Linked DNA regions of Arabidopsis thaliana. The protein of the gene in region 3 purifies or fractionates together with the protein of the main gene of each other region. This does not show direct contact. Each region holds a gene or a part of one and is shown on either strand. Other genes may lie near its edges. The genes, in order: AT4G09310, AT4G09200, AT4G37880 and AT1G61150.

The links.
Region 1: the proteins of AT4G37880 (region 3) and AT4G09310 fractionate together in Arabidopsis thaliana (co-fractionation; one large-scale study listed by BioGRID). This does not show direct contact.
Region 2: the proteins of AT4G37880 (region 3) and AT4G09200 fractionate together in Arabidopsis thaliana (co-fractionation; one large-scale study listed by BioGRID). This does not show direct contact.
Region 4: the proteins of AT4G37880 (region 3) and AT1G61150 fractionate together in Arabidopsis thaliana (co-fractionation; one large-scale study listed by BioGRID). This does not show direct contact.

What each region holds. Positions count from the first base shown.
Region 1 is NC_003075.7:5,900,462-5,906,870, reverse strand, and holds AT4G09310 (SPla/RYanodine receptor (SPRY) domain-containing protein), read right to left. Parts: upstream 4,059-6,409; 5' UTR 3,923-4,058; coding exon 3,663-3,922; intron 3,325-3,662; coding exon 3,166-3,324; intron 3,010-3,165; coding exon 2,874-3,009; intron 2,724-2,873; coding exon 2,647-2,723; intron 2,574-2,646; coding exon 2,432-2,573; intron 2,289-2,431; coding exon 2,220-2,288; intron 2,131-2,219; coding exon 2,074-2,130; intron 2,003-2,073; coding exon 1,916-2,002; intron 1,838-1,915; coding exon 1,631-1,837; 3' UTR 1,422-1,630; downstream 1-1,421. Other genes in the region: AT4G09300 (LisH and RanBPM domains containing protein), read right to left, coding at 6,182-6,309.
Region 2 is NC_003075.7:5,857,091-5,863,066, reverse strand, and holds AT4G09200 (SPla/RYanodine receptor (SPRY) domain-containing protein), read right to left. Parts: upstream 3,824-5,976; 5' UTR 3,688-3,823; coding exon 3,428-3,687; intron 3,090-3,427; coding exon 2,931-3,089; intron 2,775-2,930; coding exon 2,639-2,774; intron 2,489-2,638; coding exon 2,412-2,488; intron 2,339-2,411; coding exon 2,197-2,338; intron 2,054-2,196; coding exon 1,985-2,053; intron 1,896-1,984; coding exon 1,839-1,895; intron 1,768-1,838; coding exon 1,681-1,767; intron 1,603-1,680; coding exon 1,396-1,602; 3' UTR 1,187-1,395; downstream 1-1,186.
Region 3 is NC_003075.7:17,807,042-17,812,896, reverse strand, and holds AT4G37880 (LisH/CRA/RING-U-box domains-containing protein), read right to left. Parts: upstream 3,261-5,855; 5' UTR 3,052-3,260; intron 2,750-3,051; 5' UTR 2,715-2,749; coding exon 1,548-2,714; 3' UTR 1,238-1,547; downstream 1-1,237. Other genes in the region: EDA40 (Zinc finger (C3HC4-type RING finger) family protein), read left to right, coding at 1-85.
Region 4 is NC_003070.9:22,539,872-22,546,526, reverse strand, and holds AT1G61150 (LisH and RanBPM domains containing protein), read right to left. Parts: upstream 4,031-6,655; 5' UTR 3,854-4,030; exon of another isoform or gene 3,665-3,853; 5' UTR 3,600-3,664; coding exon 3,546-3,599; intron 3,421-3,545; coding exon 3,261-3,420; exon of another isoform or gene 3,224-3,260; coding exon of another isoform or gene 3,160-3,223; coding exon 3,053-3,159; intron 2,954-3,052; coding exon 2,822-2,953; intron 2,691-2,821; coding exon 2,534-2,690; intron 2,294-2,533; coding exon 2,172-2,293; 3' UTR 1,509-2,171; coding exon of another isoform or gene 974-1,508; 3' UTR 866-973; downstream 1-865. Other genes in the region: AT1G61160 (retrotransposon gag), read left to right, coding at 307-335, 974-1,508; EDA16 (SNF2 domain-containing protein / helicase domain-containing protein / zinc finger protein-like protein), read left to right, coding at 5,917-6,063, 6,310-6,379, 6,487-6,655.

The DNA.
Region 1 (6,409 bases), about 12 Mb from region 3:
CTTTGTCTACGTAAAGAACAAGGATGTGATCATGCTTCTTCTATACGTTGATGATATTGTCATCACAGGAAATAGCTCAAAACTTATCTCCAGTCTTCTTAATGAGCTCAATAAGCAGTTCAAGATGAAAGATTTGGGCAGACTTAGTTATTTTCTTGGTATTCAGGCGCAATTTCATCCAAAAGGTCTTTTTCTCTCTCAGTAGAATTATGTAGAAGATCTTCTAGCTACAACTGCAATGTCCAACTGTTCTCCTGTTGCAACACCATTGCCACTTCAACCTGAGAGAGCACCTAATCAAACCGAGCTCTTCGACAATCCATCATATTTAAGAAGTTTGGCTGGTAAGCTGCACTACCTCACACTTACTAGACCGGACCTCCAATTCTCTGTTAATTACGTGTGCCAAAAGATGCACGCCCCTACAATGTCGGATTTTCTTCTCCTCAAAAGGATTCTCCTATACATCAGAGGAACAACAACCATGGGAATTTCATTCAACAAGGACACAGATTGTCAACTCCGAGCTTACAGTGTCAGTGATCACGCCGGTTGTCATGGTACACGTCGCTCCACCGGTGGCTTCTGTACATTTCTTGCCAACAATTTAATCTCCTGGTCTTCTCGAAAGCAAGTCTCAGTCGCCAAAAGCTCAACCGAAGCTGAATATCGCTCTATGTCCGATACAGCCTCGAAAATCACATGGCTAGTCAATTTACTTCGTGATTTGGGTGTTCCGCAGTTATAGCTCCCCGAACTCTTCTGCGACAACCTCTCTGCCGTTTACCTTACAGCGAATCCATCGTTTCATGCTCGGACAAAGCATTTTGCAACTCACTATCATTATGTCCGAGAGCAGGTAGCTTTTGGTGAGCTCATCGTCCATCATATCCCGGGTTATCTACAGCTCGCTGACATATTTACAAAGTCTCTCGCCAAGGCTCCTTTCGAATCTCTCCGATTCAAACTTGGTGTCGATTTCCCACCTCCTCCAAGTTTGAGGGGGAGTATCAACAGAACAGCTCCAAACGACACAGTTTTGGAATTGGGCTCAAAACCATTAAAGCCCAATCCGAAACAAGTGCCCAATCCAAGAGCCAAGCCCAACATAGTGCAACGACAACCTGCAACAACAAAGGACAAAAGCAGAAAAGTTGCAGAGCGGTCCTTATCTCCACGCAGTACGGAAGTAACGACGAGGAATCGCTATGAGGCTCTTGAATCATGTGAAGACAACGACGCCACATAACAGCCAAGTGACAGCTATGCAAATCAAGAAGACACTAGGTTAAATCAATCTAGATGTATAAATAGACATAGCTTGTAATCACAAAGGCTTAAGTTGAAAGCAATAAACAAAAGACTTTCGATTTCATATTTTAACTTACAGCTAACAACAACATGTCATTAAAATTTGTAGCCGATTAAATTATCAAAATTAGTATGAGCAGCTCAATATTTGCCGATTTGTAGATAAATACTTGTAAATAAAAATTTTCAAGCTCCAATATAATCTCGTATATAGTTGTGAATCAAGTTAAAGTATGATCGCTAGTTTTAGAACATTTGAGCTTACACAATGACTCTATCAAGAGAAAAGATAAAAAGAAAAACAGAAAAAGTCAAGATTTTATTCACGAGCATAGAGTGAGCAGGTGGCTTCAAACTGTCTAAGCACTCGCTCAAGTGAAGCAGATTGCTGGTCTCTGGTGGCCGGATTTGTAGATAGAATCGCTTCACTGACTGCAGCTGCTACTATGTTCTTCTGTGTTTCTCCTAGAAGATATGCAGCACCTGATTCTTCTATAGTTTCACACTCGAACAAAGCAGAGCAATCCTGAAATAGAGAAAAACAAAACTATTAGTGACTCAAATATGAGAAACCTAATCTAACAGTTAGAGAATCACTACATACATCGAAAAGGTTTTTTAGTAGGCTTGAATCCCTAAAGTCTTTAAAATCTTGATTTCCAAATGACTTAGCCTCTGCTATTGCTCCTTTCTGCATTGTAGTTAGTTAGAGAAACACACCATGGATATGTGTAACAAATATACAAGGAATAAAGAACATACCCGTACTAATTCGACAATCTTTTGACAGATAAGAAGAAAATAAGCTTCTGATCCACCCTGCATATGATACAAGCAGCTTGTTAAAATAGTTCAAGGAATGTTAACAATGTGAATCACTCGATATATTAACTAGTTACTCAGCCCACCTCAATAAGTTGGGGATATCTATCCTTGAGTGCAGCAATAGCATCATCAATCTCAGCAGTCATTATAAGCTTTAACAAACAGAATGCATGGATCAGTTCGATATGAAACAGAAAAGATGTAGCAATGTAGCTTGCTTTTGGTTGATTTTGTACCTCACAGAAAAAAAATAAAAAAAAAATTACAGCAAGATAACCATAGCAGTGAAAAGTACCTCTCTGAGCTTTTTCCTTTGATGCAATTCATACTCATCAAAACTATTTTCTTGTGCAATAACAGTATGACGACTTGCAGCCAGGTTAAAAGCTCTAAAGCTATCTTCATATCCATAACGAAGAAGGTAGGTTTTTACAAGCCTGGAAAAAGGAAGCTTTAGCACAAACAGAAACAAGAATTACAATTAAGAACAGGCAGGAAAAGACACTTTACCCATGACTAATGCTGCGAGACATGGAAATCTTTTCAATTTCCCTTTCTTTTTTAACCCTCAATGATTCTTCAAAATGCTGAAATAAAGGTGGATCAGATAATAGAATATTGTATCAGAAAAATATGCCACATACATGCAAATATGGACATATGTGAGAGATGCATATTATTCTGCTTACTCAATAGTTATTCTCCGACTATGCAAGAAAAGAAAAGTACGACCTTACCTCAAAGTCAAAAGAAAACGCAATCTGTCCGCCGAAATTGACAGTGACAGCTTCGTTTTGGCTATGCAAAACAATTGTCGGGTATACAGGACGCCTAAATTGCCTGGGGATTGTCCCTACGATAGTTCCATTTTTCCTATAATCAAAGAAGTAGTCATAGATGTCAGCAAGTAAAACATACGCAGGGACATGTCAAAAACATTGTGACATGAAGAAATGAATTGTGTATCTTGATATCTACTTTTCCAATTGTAATGAAACATGTTCAGATAGGGAAACAGTTATTACTTACGTGAAAAAGAATTCTTGTGAAACCGAGTCTATACCGCAACCAACTAAATCACCTGTTGTATAGGTGTCACTGGCTTTAGCAACAGTTCGATCACCATCTCCATTTTGAGAGCATATGAGTCCACTGTTACCAATGTAGGCACAGCTTCTGACAGTATATCTAACATTACAGAGAAACATGAAACAGTGAATTGGAATGCTTAATTACTGAAAGGTGAAAACATCTAACAAAGCAAATCTCCCATTAACTTGTAAGATACCAGATCTAACAGCCAACACAATCAAATTGAGCAGCAAATCACATAACCTATTTCCAAGTAACGAATCCAAACCATTGAAACAGTGATTTGAACTACTGATCTACCATTGTATCTAAACCTATTTCCCAATTTGTTCTCTCAGTCTCAGGTACCAAATCAAACAGAATCAATGATTGTATTGAGTATCAAATCACGCAATAAGTGGTAAATGCGAATTGAAAGGGAAAGAAAACGATACCCTTCGCTATAGATGTGTTCCTTGGAGAAACCAATCGCGATCTCTCCTTTTTCACCAGCATTCATGATATGAACCTCGAAGTAGTAAGCAAGACAGTTAGTCGGCGCCGGATTTTCAGTCTGAAGAACTACGCCGTCGTGATCAGGGCCCGTGTATTGACCGGAGAGCCCATCGGGAGAAACAAAGGTAAATTCGTCTGAACCACCGACCGTGTATAGCGCCGTTGGCCGCAATTCTTCTTCCTCTTCGTTTTCCTCCATAGCTTCTCTCTGGTCAGAATCCCCCAATTCGTCCGAATCTATTGAATCGTAGAGAAAGAAACCCTAGAAATGCGATTGAAATGAAACCCCCAAATGTTGTTGAAGGGCATCAAAAACCACTTCGCGCCCAATGTTGTGTTTGCCAACAATAAATACGATTAAACCAGATATTTTTTAGTTAACCGGTAAATCAAATAACCGTATATTATTAAGTAAATAGATGAAACTCGGTATATTATTAAGTAACCATTTCTATGTTTTTTTCTCTTTTGGTTTTTACTTTTTAGAGTGCTTTTGGGGTGAATTTACACCTTATGTGAACACTGTTTATTAATGTTTTTCAATATCAATTATACAATAAAAATTTATTAACATAAACTTTTCTCTCTCGGTTCTAGGGATGGTATTCTCATGTGATCTCTTACTTCCAAATGATGCCATGCTTCTTTATTCAGATCCGGAAATCAGTACTATGACGAAGGATATGGAGCTCCTCCATCACACAAGCCTCCTTCTAACTGTGGAAGTCCACCTTACGACCCTGCTCCTTCAACTTCATCACACATTGATATGGGGCTTGCTTGTTCCCTGTGGCACTGTTGGAGGAGGTTTTGGTACAGTCAGTACTCCCAGTAGCATTCCAGAGTTTGATCATCACATGAACCTTCTTCAGGCACTTTCCAGACACCCGCACCGATCCCATTCGTGCTCTCTTCCGTCAAGGTACAACTTCGTTGGGGTCGGATTCCCCCACAAGCAAGACCGAGCCAAACAGTCTAAGAATAACAATCACCTCATGGTTAAACATATGATTGGCCCCTAGCCTAGAACAAAGCACCTCGGGACCTTATTCGATCGACCGTCCCGAAGAGAGTTTGTAAAATGGCTCGGGTGTTAATCATATGAACACAGCCCGAGCCAATCGTGAGAACGCTGCGGGACACATCTATATCGGCTCGGGAGACAGCCAACTGAGCTTAATGGACAGTCATCAAGCGCGCCCCGAGCCGGTACATACCGTTTGCCCCGAAGCCACCTCTCAAACGACCACCGAGCCGTGAAGAACACGCGAGGCAAAGACTTGTAAAAACCATTCATTCTCCAAGGATCATTTCCGGTAAAATGGGATCTTTTATGGGACTTTCAGAAATGATAAAGGAGAATCTTTGAAGATAATGTCGAAATCAGGAAATCTCCCCAAAACCTCCGAAGAATAAGGAGAATATCCTTAGGACGATTATCCTCTAGAACCGACCTAAGGATAAATAAGAATCTTCCGAAGAATATCGCTAGGGAGGCGGTTTAAGGATCCTATATAAAGTGCCTTAGGGACTTCACAAAAAGGGGGAGATCTTGGGATATTCACAAGAAACATAGAACTTTATACCTATTGAGAACTACGAATGGCTTGATCCCTTCACAGGGTACGTAGGCAATCCATCATGGATGCAGCTATACCTTTTTAAAACTTTAATTCTTTTTCTGTTCTTGAGCAAAACCCTAATGTATTTCATAAGAGATTAGAACCCCTCTTGTAATCGAGTCTTGGATAGAATACCTAATGAAGAGAAATTACTAGATTTGTTTTCCCTCTCTAAACAAATCTATTGTGTGAATCCTTGGTTCAACAAACTTCTTGGTTAAACTCCATGACCATGGTCAACACTAAGTTCCCTTTCACAACACCCGCAGCTATTAGATACTATATATACTATAAACAGTTTAAGATTCGTATTTGAAGCCATCTCGAATATAAATCTATGTTTATGACTAGTCTGTTTTATAAACGATCCGTCAAGTCCTTTGAAGCCAGCTTTTTAGGTAAGGGAGAGAGATAGAATAACTAAGATAAGCAAAACAAAGATTAGGACGTATATGCATTGCCGAATAGTGAGATAAGTAGACAAAGAATGAGCAACTGTTTTTTTTTTTTTGGTTCTTCGGTCACACACCAAACAAACTTCAAAATGAATTCTTATGTAGCTTTATAGGAACCATACCATGGTGGAGAATAAAAGCCTAACCAGTAAACCAACATTTGAAAACAAAAACCCTCTCTTGTTATTAGTACTACCTAGGGGTCCAATATTGTCATGAATAAGAAAATCCCTAAATCATAAGAGCAAGGCTAAAAACTCCCCCCTCACTCAAAATACTCACTAGGAAGAAATGGTCATCATGTTCTTGCGACAGATCAGTTATATATCACTATATATGTTCCCTTTTGCAGAGCCGTTAGTTGTTGAAAGGGAAGAAGAATCATTCTGGTCGGTATATGAGCTGGCCAGTGGAAAAATCATTCATGCGTGGATACACATAGACTGTTTTTTCATCCAGTTGATTCTGAGTCCAAATCAGCTCCTTCAACAAGCGCTCCAATTCAGGACCTGTTGACAATTCACAAAACATAACATCATCATCATCTCACTTGGTACATTGACAAAGTTTCAAGAGCTGGAAATCTGAAAGACACATGAGAGCAACTAG
Region 2 (5,976 bases), about 12 Mb from region 3:
GCAATATCCAACTGTTCTCCTGTTGCAACACCATTGCCACTTCAACCTGAGAGAGCACCTAATCAAACCGAGCCCTTCGACAATCCATCATATTTCAGAAGTTTGGCTGGTAAGCTGCACTACCTCACACTTACTAGACCGGACCTCCAATTCTCTGTTAATTACGTGTGCCAAAAGATGCACGCCCCTACAGTGTCGGATTTTCTTCTCCTCAAAAGGATTCTCCGGTACATCAGAGGAACAACAACCATGGGAATTTCATTCAACAAGGACACAGATTGTCAACTGCGAGCTTACAGTGACAGTGATCACGCCGGTTGTCATGGTACACGTCGCTCCACCGGTGGCTTCTGTACATTTCTTGTCAACAATCTAATCTCCTGGTCTTCTCGAAAGCAAGTCTCAGTCGCCAAAAGCTCAACCGAAGCTGAATATCGCTCTATGTCCGATACAGCCTCGGAAATCACATGGCTAGTCAATTTACTTCGTGATCTGGGTGTTCCGCAGTTACAGCTCCCCGAACTCTTCTGCGACAACCTCTCTGCCGTTTACCTTACAGCGAATCCATCGTTTCATGCTCGGACAAAGCATTTTGCAACTCACTATCATTATGTCCGAGAGCAGGTAGCTTTTGGTGAGCTCATCGTCCATCATATCCCGGGTTATCTACAGCTCGCTGACATATTTACAAAGTCTCTCGTTAAGGCTCCTTTCGAATCTCTCCGATTCAAACTTGGTGTCGATTTCCCACCTCCTCCAAGTTTGAGGGGGAGTATCAACAGAACAGCTCCAAACGACACAGTTTTGGAATTGGGCTCAAAACCATTAAAGCCCAATCCGAAACAAGTGCCCAATCCAAGAGCCAAGCCCAACATAGTGCAACGACAACCTGCAACAACAAAGGACAAAAGCAGAAAAGTTGCAGAGCGGTCCTTATCTCCACGCAGTACGGAAGTAACGACGAGGAATCGCTATGAGGCTCTTGAATCATGTGAAGACAACGACGCCACATAACAGCCAAGTGACAGCTATGCAAATCAAGAAGACACTAGGTTAAATCAATCTAGATGTATAAATAGACATAGCTTGTAATCACAAAGGCTTAAGTTGAAAGCAATAAACAAAAGACTTTCGATTTCATATTTTAACTTACAGCTAACAACAACATGTCATTAAAATTTGTAGCCGATTAAATTATCAAAATTAGTATGAGCAGCTCAATATTTGCCGATTTGTAGATAAATACTTGTAAATAAAAATTTTCAAGCTCCAATATAATCTCGTATATAGTTGTGAATCAAGTTAAAGTATGATCGCTAGTTTTAGAACATTTGAGCTTACACAATGACTCTATCAAGAGAAAAGATAAAAAGAAAAACAGAAAAAGTCAAGATTTTATTCACGAGCATAGAGTGAGCAGGTGGCTTCAAACTGTCTAAGCACTCGCTCAAGTGAAGCAGATTGCTGGTCTCTGGTGGCCGGATTTGTAGATAGAATCGCTTCACTGACTGCAGCTGCTACTATGTTCTTCTGTGTTTCTCCTAGAAGATATGCAGCACCTGATTCTTCTATAGTTTCACACTCGAACAAAGCAGAGCAATCCTGAAATAGAGAAAAACAAAACTATTAGTGACTCAAATATGAGAAACCTAATCTAACAGTTAGAGAATCACTACATACATCGAAAAGGTTTTTTAGTAGGCTTGAATCCCTAAAGTCTTTAAAATCTTGATTTCCAAATGACTTAGCCTCTGCTATTGCTCCTTTCTGCATTGTAGTTAGTTAGAGAAACACACCATGGATATGTGTAACAAATATACAAGGAATAAAGAACATACCCGTACTAATTCGACAATCTTTTGACAGATAAGAAGAAAATAAGCTTCTGATCCACCCTGCATATGATACAAGCAGCTTGTTAAAATAGTTCAAGGAATGTTAACAATGTGAATCACTCGATATATTAACTAGTTACTCAGCCCACCTCAATAAGTTGGGGATATCTATCCTTGAGTGCAGCAATAGCATCATCAATCTCAGCAGTCATTATAAGCTTTAACAAACAGAATGCATGGATCAGTTCGATATGAAACAGAAAAGATGTAGCAATGTAGCTTGCTTTTGGTTGATTTTGTACCTCACAGAAAAAAAATAAAAAAAAAATTACAGCAAGATAACCATAGCAGTGAAAAGTACCTCTCTGAGCTTTTTCCTTTGATGCAATTCATACTCATCAAAACTATTTTCTTGTGCAATAACAGTATGACGACTTGCAGCCAGGTTAAAAGCTCTAAAGCTATCTTCATATCCATAACGAAGAAGGTAGGTTTTTACAAGCCTGGAAAAAGGAAGCTTTAGCACAAACAGAAACAAGAATTACAATTAAGAACAGGCAGGAAAAGACACTTTACCCATGACTAATGCTGCGAGACATGGAAATCTTTTCAATTTCCCTTTCTTTTTTAACCCTCAATGATTCTTCAAAATGCTGAAATAAAGGTGGATCAGATAATAGAATATTGTATCAGAAAAATATGCCACATACATGCAAATATGGACATATGTGAGAGATGCATATTATTCTGCTTACTCAATAGTTATTCTCCGACTATGCAAGAAAAGAAAAGTACGACCTTACCTCAAAGTCAAAAGAAAACGCAATCTGTCCGCCGAAATTGACAGTGACAGCTTCGTTTTGGCTATGCAAAACAATTGTCGGGTATACAGGACGCCTAAATTGCCTGGGGATTGTCCCTACGATAGTTCCATTTTTCCTATAATCAAAGAAGTAGTCATAGATGTCAGCAAGTAAAACATACGCAGGGACATGTCAAAAACATTGTGACATGAAGAAATGAATTGTGTATCTTGATATCTACTTTTCCAATTGTAATGAAACATGTTCAGATAGGGAAACAGTTATTACTTACGTGAAAAAGAATTCTTGTGAAACCGAGTCTATACCGCAACCAACTAAATCACCTGTTGTATAGGTGTCACTGGCTTTAGCAACAGTTCGATCACCATCTCCATTTTGAGAGCATATGAGTCCACTGTTACCAATGTAGGCACAGCTTCTGACAGTATATCTAACATTACAGAGAAACATGAAACAGTGAATTGGAATGCTTAATTACTGAAAGGTGAAAACATCTAACAAAGCAAATCTCCCATTAACTTGTAAGATACCAGATCTAACAGCCAACACAATCAAATTGAGCAGCAAATCACATAACCTATTTCCAAGTAACGAATCCAAACCATTGAAACAGTGATTTGAACTACTGATCTACCATTGTATCTAAACCTATTTCCCAATTTGTTCTCTCAGTCTCAGGTACCAAATCAAACAGAATCAATGATTGTATTGAGTATCAAATCACGCAATAAGTGGTAAATGCGAATTGAAAGGGAAAGAAAACGATACCCTTCGCTATAGATGTGTTCCTTGGAGAAACCAATCGCGATCTCTCCTTTTTCACCAGCATTCATGATATGAACCTCGAAGTAGTAAGCAAGACAGTTAGTCGGCGCCGGATTTTCAGTCTGAAGAACTACGCCGTCGTGATCAGGGCCCGTGTATTGACCGGAGAGCCCATCGGGAGAAACAAAGGTAAATTCGTCTGAACCACCGACCGTGTATAGCGCCGTTGGCCGCAATTCTTCTTCCTCTTCGTTTTCCTCCATAGCTTCTCTCTGGTCAGAATCCCCCAATTCGTCCGAATCTATTGAATCGTAGAGAAAGAAACCCTAGAAATGCGATTGAAATGAAACCCCCAAATGTTGTTGAAGGGCATCAAAAACCACTTCGCGCCCAATGTTGTGTTTGCCAACAATAAATACGATTAAACCAGATATTTTTTAGTTAACCGGTAAATCAAATAACCGTATATTATTAAGTAAATAGATGAAACTCGGTATATTATTAAGTAACCATTTCTATGTTTTTTTCTCTTTTGGTTTTTACTTTTTAGAGTGCTTTTGGGGTGAATTTACACCTTATGTGAACACTGTTTATTAATGTTTTTCAATATCAATTATACAATAAAAATTTATTAACATAAACTTTTCTCTCTCGGTTCTAGGGATGGTATTCTCATGTGATCTCTTACTTCCAAATGATGCCATGCTTCTTTATTCAGATCCGGAAATCAGTACTATGACGAAGGATATGGAGCTCCTCCATCACACAAGCCTCCTTCTAACTGTGGAAGTCCACCTTACGACCCTGCTCCTTCAACTTCATCACACATTGATATGGGGCTTGCTTGTTCCCTGTGGCACTGTTGGAGGAGGTTTTGGTACAGTCAGTACTCCCAGTAGCATTCCAGAGTTTGATCATCACATGAACCTTCTTCAGGCACTTTCCAGACACCCGCACCGATCCCATTCGTGCTCTCTTCCGTCAAGGTACAACTTTGTTGGGGTCGGATTCCCCCACAAGCAAGACCGAGCCAAACAGTCTAAGAATAACAATCACCTCATGGTTAAACATATGATTGGCCCCTAGCCTAGAACAAAGCACCTCGGGACCTTATTCGATCGACCGTCCCGAAGAGAGTTTGTAAAATGGCTCGGGTGTTAATCATATGAACACAGCCCGAACCAATCGTGAGAACGCTGCGGGAAACATCTATATCGGCTCGGGAGACAGCCAACTGAGCTTAATGGACAGTCATCAAGCGCGCCCCGAGCCGGTACATACCGTTTGCCCCGAAGCCACCTCTCAAACGACCACCGAGCCGTGAAGAACACGCGAGGCAAAGACTTGTAAAAACCATTCATTCTCCAAGGATCATTTCCGGTAAAATGGGATCTTTTATGGGACTTTCAGAAATGATAAAGGAGAATCTTTGAAGATAATGTCGAAATCAGGAAATCTCCCCAAAACCTCCGAAGAATAAGGAGAATATCCTTAGGACGATTATCCTCTAGAACCGACCTAAGGATAAATAAGAATCTTCCGAAGAATATCGCTAGGGAGGCGGTTTAAGGATCCTATATAAAGTGCCTTAGGGACTTCACAAAAAGGGGGAGATCTTGGGATATTCACAAGAAACATAGAACTTTATACCTATTGAAAACTACGAATGGCTTGATCCCTTCACAGGGTACGTAGGCAATCCATCATGGATGCAGCTATACCTTTTTAAAACTCTAATTCTTTTTCTGTTCTTGAGCAAAACCCTAATGTATTTCATAAGAGATTAGAACCCCTCTTATAATCGAGTCTTGGATAGAATACCTAATGAAGAGAAATTACTAGATTTGTTTTCCCTCTCTAAACAAATCTATTGTGTGAATCCTTGGTTCAACAAACTTCTTGGTTAAACTCCATGACCATGGTCAACACTAAGTTCCCTTTCACAACACCCGCAGCTATTAGATACTATATATACTATAAACAGTTTAAGATTCGTATTTGAAGCCATCTCGAATATAAATCTATGTTTATGACTAGTCTGTTTTATAAACGATCCGTCAAGTCCTTTGAAGCCAGCTTTTTAGGTAAGGGAGAGAGATAGAATAACTAAGATAAGCAAAACAAAGATTAGGACGTATATGCATTGCCGAATAGTGAGATAAGTAGACAAAGAATGAGCAACTGTTTTTTTTTTTTTGGTTCTTCGGTCACACACCAAACAAACTTCAAAATGAATTCTTATGTAGCTTTATAGGAACCATACCATGGTGGAGAATAAAAGCCTAACCAGTAAACCAACATTTGAAAACAAAAACCCTCTCTTGTTATTAGTACTACCTAGGGGTCCAATATTGTCATGAATAAGAAAATCCCTAAATCATAAGAGCAAGGCTAAAAACTCCCCCCTCACTCAAAATACTCACTAGGAAGAAATGGTCATCATGTTCTTGCGACAGATCAGTTATATATCACTATATATGTTCCCTTTTGCAGAGCCGTTAGTTGCTGAAAGGGAAGAAGAATCATTCTGGTCGGTATATGAGCTGGCCAGT
Region 3 (5,855 bases):
TGAGAGATTGGCTAAAGTGGCGATCATGAGGAAGCATATGAATAGAGTCAGCGACCTCCATGGATTCGAAAATGCTAGATTTTAGTTTTGTTGTTTCTATTTTATTACGAAGTTTTGTAATGGTGTGATACAAAGAAATACAATGGTATATGAATTTTTTTATGGAATTTTGTTTCTCTTTATTTAATCAAATTATGGATATTAGTTTTGGATATAAGTAACAGTTTTGAATTTGTATATGATATTCACAACTCACAAGATTTTCATTTTTTTTTTATAATTGGTAAACATAGTATATATATATATATGATATATATAGAAGGGTAAACATTCATTCATATTAAACTTTATTAAATTTTGCAATGATGTGATACAAAGAAACAGAAAGGTACATAAACACTTAATACAAATTAGTGGTGTTTACCAGAAAAAAAAAATAACTTCTTTAAGTGGTGGGTGCTAGCTCCAGAAAATAAAATAAAAAACTGGCTAACATAATAATGCTATTTGTTTGTTACGGCGGAATTGAGCTTTGTTTTTGTCTCATGTACTTTTGTGAATTGAATAAAAACTCATGATGATTCTTCATTTTCTCTTTTATTTACCAATTTTTGTGCGTCTATTGTGTTCCCCATTATGTTCCCCATTAACTACCAATACACTCTAGTCAATCGGTCAAATTGAAGTAGAAAATTTTGATACGTGGAACGTGGTTCATTGCTTTTGCCTTTTGGTATATTTAAACTTGGATATATTTTGTGTACTCTTTTGAGAAGAATAGGTCTCGTCATTCGTGGATTCAAAACCAAGCTGACTCGCATGAACGAGACACACGTATGAATCGACATATACACAAGTGCAAGCTTAAGCCCATCTTTTGGGGTCTAAGCCCAATAAATCTTGTTTAGGAATTCAAATTCTCTAAGCTAACCAAAACGAGTCTTGAAACAGCCAAATTCTCTAAGCTAATCAAAGAAGAAACCAATACGAGTCTTGAAAAGGCCAAAGTGTCTAAGCTAACCAAAGAAGAGACGAACAACACAATAAACCAACATTTGCCTCACATATAATAAAGAAAGAGCCTAATTCTCTAACTCAAGAACTACTTCTATTGTAGCGTTATATGTGTCTAACCCATCCAAACAATGATTGTACGAAAATTAGATTAACTAAGACATGATTCTCTATTTAACAGATGAGCGCAGCAAAAATCAATTTGTTTTATTTCCATGTGACCAGTAATTCTAAAAGAGAGCTTAATTTCCAGGGTTCCAGCTAATCTAAACTAAATTTGCAGTGTAAAGAATTTCTATATTCAAAAGGTTTAACAAACAAATAGCAACAACACCAAAAACACATTCTTATGGGATGTCCAATCATCTAAAAACTTCCCCTGATCAATTTGTACACCAAAGCCCCATCACTTAAAAAACTTCATGAAAAAAAGAAACAGAGAACACCACAAGGTTACAATTTTGACACAGATTTCACCGATTCAGAACTTAGTTCCAGTTTATATCGGTCGTACAAATTCCCGAGCTTTCGTTTCAAAAGTGCAACTGCCTACACCTTGAGATGTCTACATCGGTTGGGCAATAAGGACACTTGAACGACGACTTAGAGCCATTCTTTGACATTTTGTTGATCGTCTGCTTGCAAAGCACATGTCCACAAGACATCATCATCGGAGGGTTATCATCACTTGACTGTTCTTTAGAGACTGGACAGACAAACACCGAATGAAACTGAAACTCCTCGGATAGTTGCGCATCAACAGGAAGTTGTTCCATGGTCTGCCAATCAAGCTTCTTATTCGCCATCACCACGTTCATGTATTTCAATAGTACTGGTAACGCTTGTGTGCCCGCTGTTACTGTTATACTCAACGGGCTTTCAGATGATTCACCGAGTAGGTTGCAGTACTGTCGGGTTAGCTCTTTGACTGCATTGTTCCACAGAGCGGGGGAGAGAAACTCGGAGTATGGTGATTTATCGAGTTTTCTGTTCCATAAGAGAGAACACATGAGCTTCTGGATCTCCGGGAGGCAGCTATCTGCAAACGTGGCGATATGCTTTCTCGCATAGTCGATAGCTTCTTTGGAGTTTTTGCCTCGTGCTATTTCCAGAAAGTGTAGACTATGAAGCTTCATCTCAAGATCAGACCTTGCTTCCTTTAGTTTGTCAGAGTTCGAAACAGCCCAATTAAGAGCCGGTTCAAGATCTCGTCTCTTCATAGCTTCTAGTATCCGATACATCTCCACGAAAGATTGTCTTGTAGAACATTCAGATTCACCAGTTTCAGCAACAAAACAGTCACCAATGTCAAACATTCCTTGACGGTAGAAAAAGTTGGCGATAATCTGGTTAACGATATGAGTATCAAACTCAACATTGTGTCTATAAGCCTTTGATATGTCTGGATTCAGCTGTTTCTCAAGAACTTTAGGGTACTTGGTCAAAGCCGCATGTAGCTCTTTCTCAGTAGCTTCAAGTTGAGTGATTGGAGCAATCTCCATAAACACTTTCTTCACATCAGCGAGGATAGATCTATGATCAAGAAGCATAGTATCTGATGATGGTGTCTCCTCTAATATGCTCAAAGCCTTATCGATTTCTTGAGACAACATATGAACAATCTCATTAGTTTTGCTATAAGAGAGCTTCTGCTTCGTCGCAACACGATCAAACGCATCCTTAATGCTCTTTAGCTCCATTCTTAGATAAGTCAAAATCACTCTAAGAATCTTACCTGAGACAAGCAAAAATCATACCAAAATTAGACATTTTTTGAAATGAATCATCAAGATGCAAAAATCGGATCTTCAAATCCAAAATCAGAAACTTAAAACAGAGGACACAATTTCCTCTAATCACAAATTGATTCCAGAATAAACAGATCAGATAAATTTTCTATATAGAATCAAAGATCTCAATCAATTTCAAACTAACGATTTCAGGAATCTATGAAGACCAAATCGAAAAACTTCCAGAAATGAATCAGCGTGAAAATCAAAAGACTTCTAAGATACACAAAGAAAGGGAAAAACGTACCTAAAATCGAGAGGTTGAAGATGAAGTTGGTGGATCAAAGTAAAAGCAGAGACTTGGCTTCGAGCAAAAGAGAGGAAAATCAGATTTCGTGATTTTTTTTTGTCTTCTGTCTTTTTTTTTTTGTTTTTCGTTAATATTTTCTCATCACTCCTTCAGATTATTATCCTTACGAGTTAGGGAGAACTATCACGTGTTATAGTGAATAAAAGACTCTCAGCCGTTGGATTTGTTTAGTGTTAGATATACTTTAGTGTGGAGTATATTACAGACGATTCCAAGCTCTAGGTCTTCCGTGAACTAAAAAGCCCATTATATATTTTGAAAGGAGAGAAAAAGGCCCAACTACCGCTTCTCTATGTTTACATTTTGATAAATTGTTACGCAGTGAAAAACAAAATATGACTGTTGTAACGAGTGTAACGGCAACTTTTTCTTACCGTTAATGAAGTAACTAAAGTTTCTAATTGTACATTATTTAAGAATAACCTTAAATCAATAGTGAATTATATTTTTAAAAACATTTGTGTTAAATTTTAAAACTATGAAAATAAACTGAATTTGACATTTAGTCTTTAAAATTTTGTTTGCTTTTATGAAAAATTATAAGTTAATTCTGCTTACACGTAATGTAAATTTAAAATTTCAATTTCTGATTATTATTATTTTAATTTTTTTTTTTTAACTTTTGAATAAAGCCACGAAAATTAAGATACAAAAAAAGACAATAGTTTATAAAAACGTCCAAGTCAGATAATCACAAGCTCGTGAGAACTCAATTCCAAAATTTCATAATCAATTAGTGTTGAATTTTCGTTTCTGTCTATAAATAGTGCTATTAACACTTTAAAGTGTGTATAGAAAACTACATCGAAACCAGAATTTTAATGTTTTATGAAACCACTTTAAATAGAAAACTATGGGTACTAGAAACCACAAAACTTTTCAAAAAATTAAGATATCAAACATGCAAAAAAAAATCTGTCCTCGTATGAAAAATATAGTTAAAACTATATAATAATTTGATAAAATAAAATAAAAACATCTTCTTTGACCAAAACAGAAAAAAAAAAAAAAAAAAAAACGTTTTCTCAGTTTGCTTTCATCAAATCATGTATGTTATATGTTATCGAAGATATAGACTCTATAGTGTGTTTTTTCGTGTGATTCATTTTATTTGTTTCAATAGTTGTTAAAATACGAGAAACCCACCAAAACGAATATATAGGAGAAAATAACGCGTTTAAATTATGACATCAGTAGAAACTCTTTTTGCGGACTGTGAATTGAGATATCCAAGAAAAGGGAAGAGGAGAAGAGTGAATCGGCCTCCCCCACAAGGTGACAAAACTGGAATCTATAATGGGAATGTAAATAATCAATAAGAGAAAGAACCAATGAACATTCAAAAGTGAAAGAAATTGAGAGTACATACATATAATAGTACTAATTAACCACTCCCTTGCACATGGTTAATCTACAGCGTTGGATTCCATTATCAAGTAGTACCTATGTCAAGATTCGAGAAGATCTTCAATGAACAACTATTCAACTCTCTTTTTTGTAGCCCTACTCGTTATTTAACTATATGACTAATGGTGTTGTCTAAAATGGTTTACCGTATGGTCTGAATATAAAAATGGTTGAAACGATGATAGATTAGAATTTATAAATGCAAATTAATTCATCTTTTTTGGAACGTGGGTCATTGATGTGAACATCTAATCGGTCACGGCCGAGACCGACAACCAAAAAAATTGTCATGAAACTTTCACGGGGGTCTCTCGCGTGAGTCGTGATCTCTCTCCATCGCGATAATATATGTGCCAACGGAAGACTTTTTTTCTTATAACAAAAAGACTCTTATTCCTAAAAAGCTACAATTCAGCGAAAGACTTTAAGTTTGCTTAACCTTTTCTATATTCTTTTTGAATTTTCAAAACTCATAAAACCAATAGTAATTAAAGTCCATCGGCCGATTGGGTCCAGACTATTAAAGTTGGATCGGATTAATTTTTAGGCATTAACAAGAATTATGGTCATAAAATGAGTTGTAGTAAACACATCTTTGTGATCAGAATGCAAATCCCGTGAGACTTTGTGCACGAGAGTACGTGGTGCTTTATGACTTGCACCTTTTTCATATTAGCTTTAATACAAAATTAATTATATGACAAGATTTCTACTAAAATAATATCCAAACCGTCGATTATTGCCACATTTTATTAGAAAACCTCTTTTTAAAAATGTTTTATTAAACTTTTGTATATATTGTTGTCTTCATTATCCTGCGCCCATGCTAGCATGCAAATTGCAGAGTCTTTCTGATAAAAATATTCTCCTTCACTTTTGGATTCAGAAAGCTGGAGTATCTAATTATACATAAACTAATTACAATCTAATGATGAACATAAACAATAACTTCCAAAACAACACGTGACGAAGGTTCTTGTAATTGTGAAATAACAATCATCATGTTCGTAACGTTCCTTGTAGTATTCTTTTCCTGATTCATACTGATACATATAATAATATAGTGTGAATATTAAAAAATAAAATAAGTATACGTATATATATGTTGAACCTCATTGCGTGTCCTCTCACGAATCTACTTACTTTGAGATGCGTGCCCATCTCCTAAAATACAATCGGAGCTATGTCTATCGTTTTCGATATTCCCCGGCCGAAACCATCAAACGAATTTTTATCATCATCAAACAACTTGATAAAATAAGTGACACTTGCGAAAATTATTTGATGGAGATCACGAATATTAGACCGTAAAATCAATTACCAATATGCAAGTT
Region 4 (6,655 bases), on a different chromosome or scaffold from region 3:
ACTGTAAATTGGGTATATGAGATATTTATTAGAAATTATGAAAAGAAAATAAAAGCTAATTTATTATAATTAAAATTTATTGTATTTCCATATTTTTTTGATTTGCGAGCGGACATAAAAAAAAAAAATTTTGCCAGCGTATGTCTTAATCAATTATTATATAAGAAAAATGAATCAGGTTAATTTTTTATTTATAGAACATAAATCAATGATATCCCATTTTGGGAGTTAATAAAAGTACATCATTTGGTTAGACTCACTTTAAGAGCTTCATTTCCCATTTTTTTTATTTCTTCATTCTCCACAATGACTAATGGAAGAAGTAATATCAATTTGTAAGTTCCTTAGATATTCTCAATTTTCTATTATCTATTTCACAATATCTATTAATGATTTTGATAAAATATATTAAGAAACTATATTATTTTCAATCTTTTAGCTTTCAGATTAGTTTGTTAGATTTTTTTTTTCTGTAATGATAAAGCATGAAATGAAAATCTTGTAAAGGATCATGATCAAAAGGTCTTTGCTCATTTTATATCAAATTGAATCAATTTTATTTTTGCTTAAAATATTTAAAGTTCAATAAAAATAGGTGAAGATAGATCTTTTTCAGACAAAATAAAATAAGATATAAATCTCTTTTCCACTATTCGACATTACGATTGCTTTATTCTATTTGATCCATTTCGAGTCATCATTTTTATACTCGAGTTTCATATAAATTATGTTTTCGCAAAATTCAGTTTTAATTTTGTTGAATTATAATGATAATTTATACTCCCTCAAATCCATAATATTTGATAATTTGTTAGAATTTTGATGTAAAGTTTTTTATTTAAATATATTAGATTTAGCATAGTCATGATTTTCTAAGATAATAAATTGTTTTTCTAACTGAAAACTATCCTTGTTTTCATATTTTGTAACAAATTATTAAATGTATAAAACTCGATGAATTATTGACCCGCAGGCAGACCAGGTCGATCAAGACATCTGGTGAACCAAAAAACTTTGAGCTCACAGGGGTAGTTGGGGAGGAGGATCAGCCACCCCGAGAAGCTTCTGAGCGCGGAGCCTTCGATGAGTCTAAGCTGGTTGACGTCAACATTGCCTTGAGCTGGGAAGCCTTTGAGGTGAAGCAAGGAACAGAGACAGTGCGTGAGTATTATAACGAGTTCCTTAAGAAGGTCAAGAACCTCGGAAGAGAGTTGGAGGAAGAGCAGCTGGCGTGTCTGTTCCAGGAAGGGCTACGCGAGGAGTTGCAGGAAGGGGTATGTGCAGCGAACTGCGGATGGATCCTTAATTATGTGTCAGATGTAGTTGATGAAGCTGAGAAGGTAGAGGCCAAACTTAGAAGCATCAAGGAAAAGGTGCCGCTCGTGTCTGAGGAGTTTGCAGATGTTGACTGCGGACAAAGCAATTTGGGCCGACCCGCATCCGAAGATGAGGTGGAGAGCAAACCCTCCAAATCCTATGATCCGGAAGACCATATCATGCAAGATTGAGATGGCTAGAGTCAACATAAGGTCTTGAGTCTTGTGGATTATGTTTCCTATTTTATATATCAAAAAGTTGCTATTACTACTTCCCTTTATTTACTTCGTACCATGTCATGCAAGATTCAAAGCTGTGTCAGTACCAAAATAATATTTTGCGAAGAAGAAGAAAAATCAAATGATGTTTCAGTACGGTTCGCAGAGATTCTCCATTTCGACGGTAACAGCACTCAATTCAATAGGTCATGTTGCTTTCTAGGTAAGTAGGAACCGTGCCAAGTTGATTCATTGATTCATGTAACTATACATGGGATGAATAAGCCATCTCTCTTGTTTACAATTCGAACCTTTTGGAACAAAAATATTCCTCAAAACAAACACAAAGATCCAAACAAAGTCGATAACTTCATTCAAATCAAATGCACGTATGCAATGAGTCATCAAATATGTTGATAATAAGAACATTTGACTAGAGTAATTCATTGCCTACAAAAGCTTATGTTCCCCTCCCCATATCCTAACGATTGCGGGTCCAACAAATCCCGATGCAGAAGAAAAGGAAAAGCAGAAAGCATATGAATTGTAAGTTATTGAGATTGACGGGAAGAGAAGAGAGCACCATTCATTGTTCCTTTTTGCTACTGATTTCCAATGGCTGAAAGAAGTACGGAATCATTCTGACGGGTCTTCGAGCTTACCGGTAGACAAATCATTAATGTGCGGATACACTGCTTTCTCGTCCAGTTGAGTTTGAGCCCAAATCAACATCTTCAACAAGCTTGGAAGTTTAGGATCTGTTTGTTCACAAACATTGAGTTGCTACATTAACCATGGAGGAAAATGGAAAGTTTCAAGAAGAACTTGGATGATACATGTTGTGGGTGAAGTAATGAATGAAAAATTTTACTTGTTATGTAGAGAAGAGTTGCATATACTTTGAATCTTAAGATTGATAATGAATGATGCTCGAGATTATAATGGTATTTTGTGGCTACTAAAAGACAACCAGTATAACATCAAAATTCAAAAGCTACCTTTTTCGTGGCTCTGGCTTGTAAGAATCGCTGCATTTACTTCACTTGCTGTCTTAAGACGGTGGGAAAGATCAAGAAGCTCTTTAACCGGGCAGGTAGAGGCATCGTCAAAAACAAGTAGGGCTACAGTTTTTTCCAATTCTTCCAGAAACGCTTGCTGCAGAGAGATATAACAGACTGTATGAATGAAGTTTCAGCAACAACAGATATTACACACAGTCAATGAGCAATACACATGGAAAACACCATCTTTAACGACAGAAATCAAAGTGAAATACAAAGACTTACGTTTTCTTCGCCACGTGGTGCAAGTTCCTCCTGAGCAAACTCTAAGGCCTCTTCTGTCTTCCCTTGTCGAATTAATTCTATCAACCTTTGCTGCTGAAGATGAAAAAAGAGCTCCGGATTCGTGTCTAGTATCTGCAAGCATGGGTTCAAAGAAGAATCAGATTTTGCTTCTTTATTACATCAGAAAAGTGAATGACTACTCTCCACACAAGATATGAAGAAGCATTGTACCTCAGGATTCAAATCATTAACTTTTTCAATCGCATCCTCGACATTTCCGTTTTGAACAGCCTTTTTAACAGCCATTCGATCAGTAATGGTCGCAAGATCTATCTCTGCTGTTTCTCGATAAGGAAGTTCAAAAGGAGTAGATAAGCTAAACATCAAACACACCAATTCCATAAACAAAAACTCAAAACCAGAATCAGAAAAAGGATACGTTTGGTTCCAGACTCCCTTTGGAATTTCTCAGCAGCTTCAACATATCCTTCAGTCACAAGAAAATTCATCACCAAAGTATTCATATCTTCTTTCCTAAGCTTCACAGCATTTAGTTTCTTCTCCCATTCTTCACGTGTGATCATTTTCTTCGAAGTAGCCTGCGACAAGCCACGATTAAAACTAGGTCACACAACGTGCATAAAGATTAAAGTTTTCCAAAAACCCATCATCAAGTTGTATCAAATAACACAAAGAACAGACTCATAAGAGGAGTCAAAATTACCATATCTTCGTCGTCTTCTTCAAGCTGATTGATAAAAATACGAAACAGTGACATTAGAACGCCAGTGAGGCTCTCATATCTTGAAATCTAATCTAATCCACTCAATACGAAATTAATACCTGTTCGAGCAACACTCCGATCAGAGCTATTTCCAAAAGAAATTGACTTTGTGATCAGATAGTGATACAAAGTAATTTAGGGCTTTAGTCAAAATTCAAGCTTTAATCTCAAAACAGCACAGGAGTGGTAGTTCTAAGAAAGAGAGAGTGTGCGACTATTTTCCTCAAAAATTGAATATAACGATGTACCTGGAGAAGTGGAGAATCTGGGGAAGATTATCTGGGAACGATTCTTGCAAATAATCCGGAGATTTGGCGATCGATTTGCTTCTAGATTGCTTGCGAAAGTCTCTTCCCTAAATTTACAATCTGATAAAACAAAAAAAAGTTGGAGGTTTTCGATAGAGAAGAAGAGATCGGGTTTAAATTATTAGGATGTTGACGAACCGTCGATGAATAATCCGGTTTAAATTATTAAGGGAACCGGTTTGTTTTTGGATTTGGTTCTTTATATACCGGATAGTATTATGTAACTCATTTCCAAATGATTTTAATACCCAAAGATTTTTAAACTATTTTACCTTTGAAGAACAAAATTTCGATTTAAAATCATAATTTTTTTTTATTTTTTTTTTTAAATCTTGGAGGTTGTGGGTCAAAGTCCGTAATCCCCCAGGCCTGAAACCACAGCATAAAATATTAGTTTCGTCCCAAGCGTCACTCGAACCGGCGACCTCTAAGCTTTGCATAAGGTCTTTACCAATTGAGCTAACGACACTTGGTTAAAATCATAATTAAATAAGACTGATGTTAAAAATCTCTATATTATTTGGAATTTGATACACAATTTAAAACCAATAACTGATACTCTATTATACTCTATTAAAATCAACTATTAGGTAACAAATATGTGACATAAACATTTTGCAGTCCGATGCAAAATATATCTTTCAATCTCAACAATATGTTTTTTCTTGGTCAACAATCTAACAATATGTTTAATTGCATCTTCAAACTAAAGTCCCAAAACATGTTTTGTTCTTTGCACATGGTTGTTTGTGTGGAACCACAATAAGACAAAGGATCGATTGCAGAATTTGAGGTCTTCTAGCTAGTTGACCGACTAAGAATCAATGGACCACTTATTCTTTAATATTATTTTTCCCAACTGGTTTGGAAGGACTTAGTGAAGAAGTTACACTAAAACTTCTCGAGTCAATCCTCATATGGTTTCTTTTGGCAATTCCTATCTCTGCAAAATCAAAGGCTCTTCATATCAATTAATATGGCAAGCAACTACTTTGAGACATGGCAAGAACGGAATTGTTGATCACATAATAAGCAAGCTCTTTCTCATCAAACTACCTACAAAGTTTTGCGCTCTACAAGATATTTGATCAATCATAAAAATGGTGATCTCGTATAATACTAGTCTTCTTTTAGGGCTAACAAATGATTCAGAAGATTACAAATGTGCTTTGTAGAAATTAGCAATATAGTGCTTTGTAGAATTTTATGACCACAAGATTGGTAAGATCATTTAGTCAAATATATGTTTTATCTCTTCTTATTGATTGAGATGATTATTTTTCTAATGAGTCGATCCACATGTCTAATTCCAATTGATCTTTGTGATTTAGTTTCATATTTGTTTTCTTTAACATATGAAATTTTTTTGTTAGTGTAGAAAATCTAATTTTCACACAATTAAAAATAATTTTTACAATAAATTATGATTAGCAAACACTTCAAAAAAATCTCCATTACTTAAACACTTCAGTTTCCTACTACTAATTAAAGTTGTTTCCTTTTGTTTAAATTGTGATTTTGCTTTAACAATAAAGATGACGGCGCATAAAATATAATTATATATAATCATGCATTATTAAATAATGAAAAAATGGAAAAAAATGAAAGAAAAAGAAAAACAAATGTTCGACCGTTCCTTATTTAAAGCCGGAAGTCCCATAGCCTTGTGGTGTTTACTTTTTCCAATTCGGAGAAAGCCAAAAGAGAGAACAAGGCAATAAAAAGAAGCCACCGTCGCTACAAAAAGTCGCGATTTTTATTTTCTCTATCCCAACTGCTCTCTACCTTTCCTCGAAAATTCCTTCAAAACCCAATTCTCAAGCCTTCTTCTTCGTCGTACCTGAAAATTCTACAATCTCTGGATCTACGCGTCTACTTCTGAATTTCGATTTGGGTTTCCCGGGAGCTGAAATTCCGTGACTTTTGGGTTTTCTGATTTAGGGTTTGTTCCTCTTCTCGTTCTTTCTCGGGTTAGTTTTTTTTTTTTTTTTTTGTGATTTTTGATGGGTGAGGAAGGTTCAATGTTTGGTCTGGGAGGTGAATTTCCGGTTGATGATTGTGATGGTGGTTTTGAGTTTGAAGATGATGACGAGACTATTGACATCGAAACGCTTTATCGGATTCTAGATGAGAAGCCTGATTCTGCTGAGGTAGTTTTCTCGGCTTTTGTGGTAGCTTGAGAATTTTGATTACACGCTTCTCTAACTTCAATTTCATCGTTTTGATTTAGCTGAATTTCATTGCATTATTTGAATGCTGCTACAAAGATGTTTGGATTTGTATTTTGTTATAAAGTTTATGTATGTGTGATTTCACAATTCTGTAGCTACACTAATCTCTAATTGACTATTTTTTTCGATAGAGAAGAAACTAACATTGAGAGTGACTACTTTTAGGGTAGCCAAGAAAACTTATCACCAGTTGGTTCATCTGCTGACGAGCTCAAGGATTCACAGTTGCTAAATGGTTAGTAGTTGTTGGAAAGGGTGCCTTGTTACATAGTCATTTAGTATTTATTGAGCTGTTTGAGGTACATCGTATTAACATCGCTTGGATTTTTTTTGTTGTGCCAGGTTCATTTGATGAACATGTGAAAATGGAAGCCGGGCTGAGTCCTTCACCTGCTCATACTTGCTCTGCAAGTCTTAAAGATTGGTTTTCGTTAAGTCAGGGTGAGCAGCCTGTGGAAACATGTGGAGTATCTCAATCTGAGATGACTAGTTGTAGTATATCGTCTAGTTT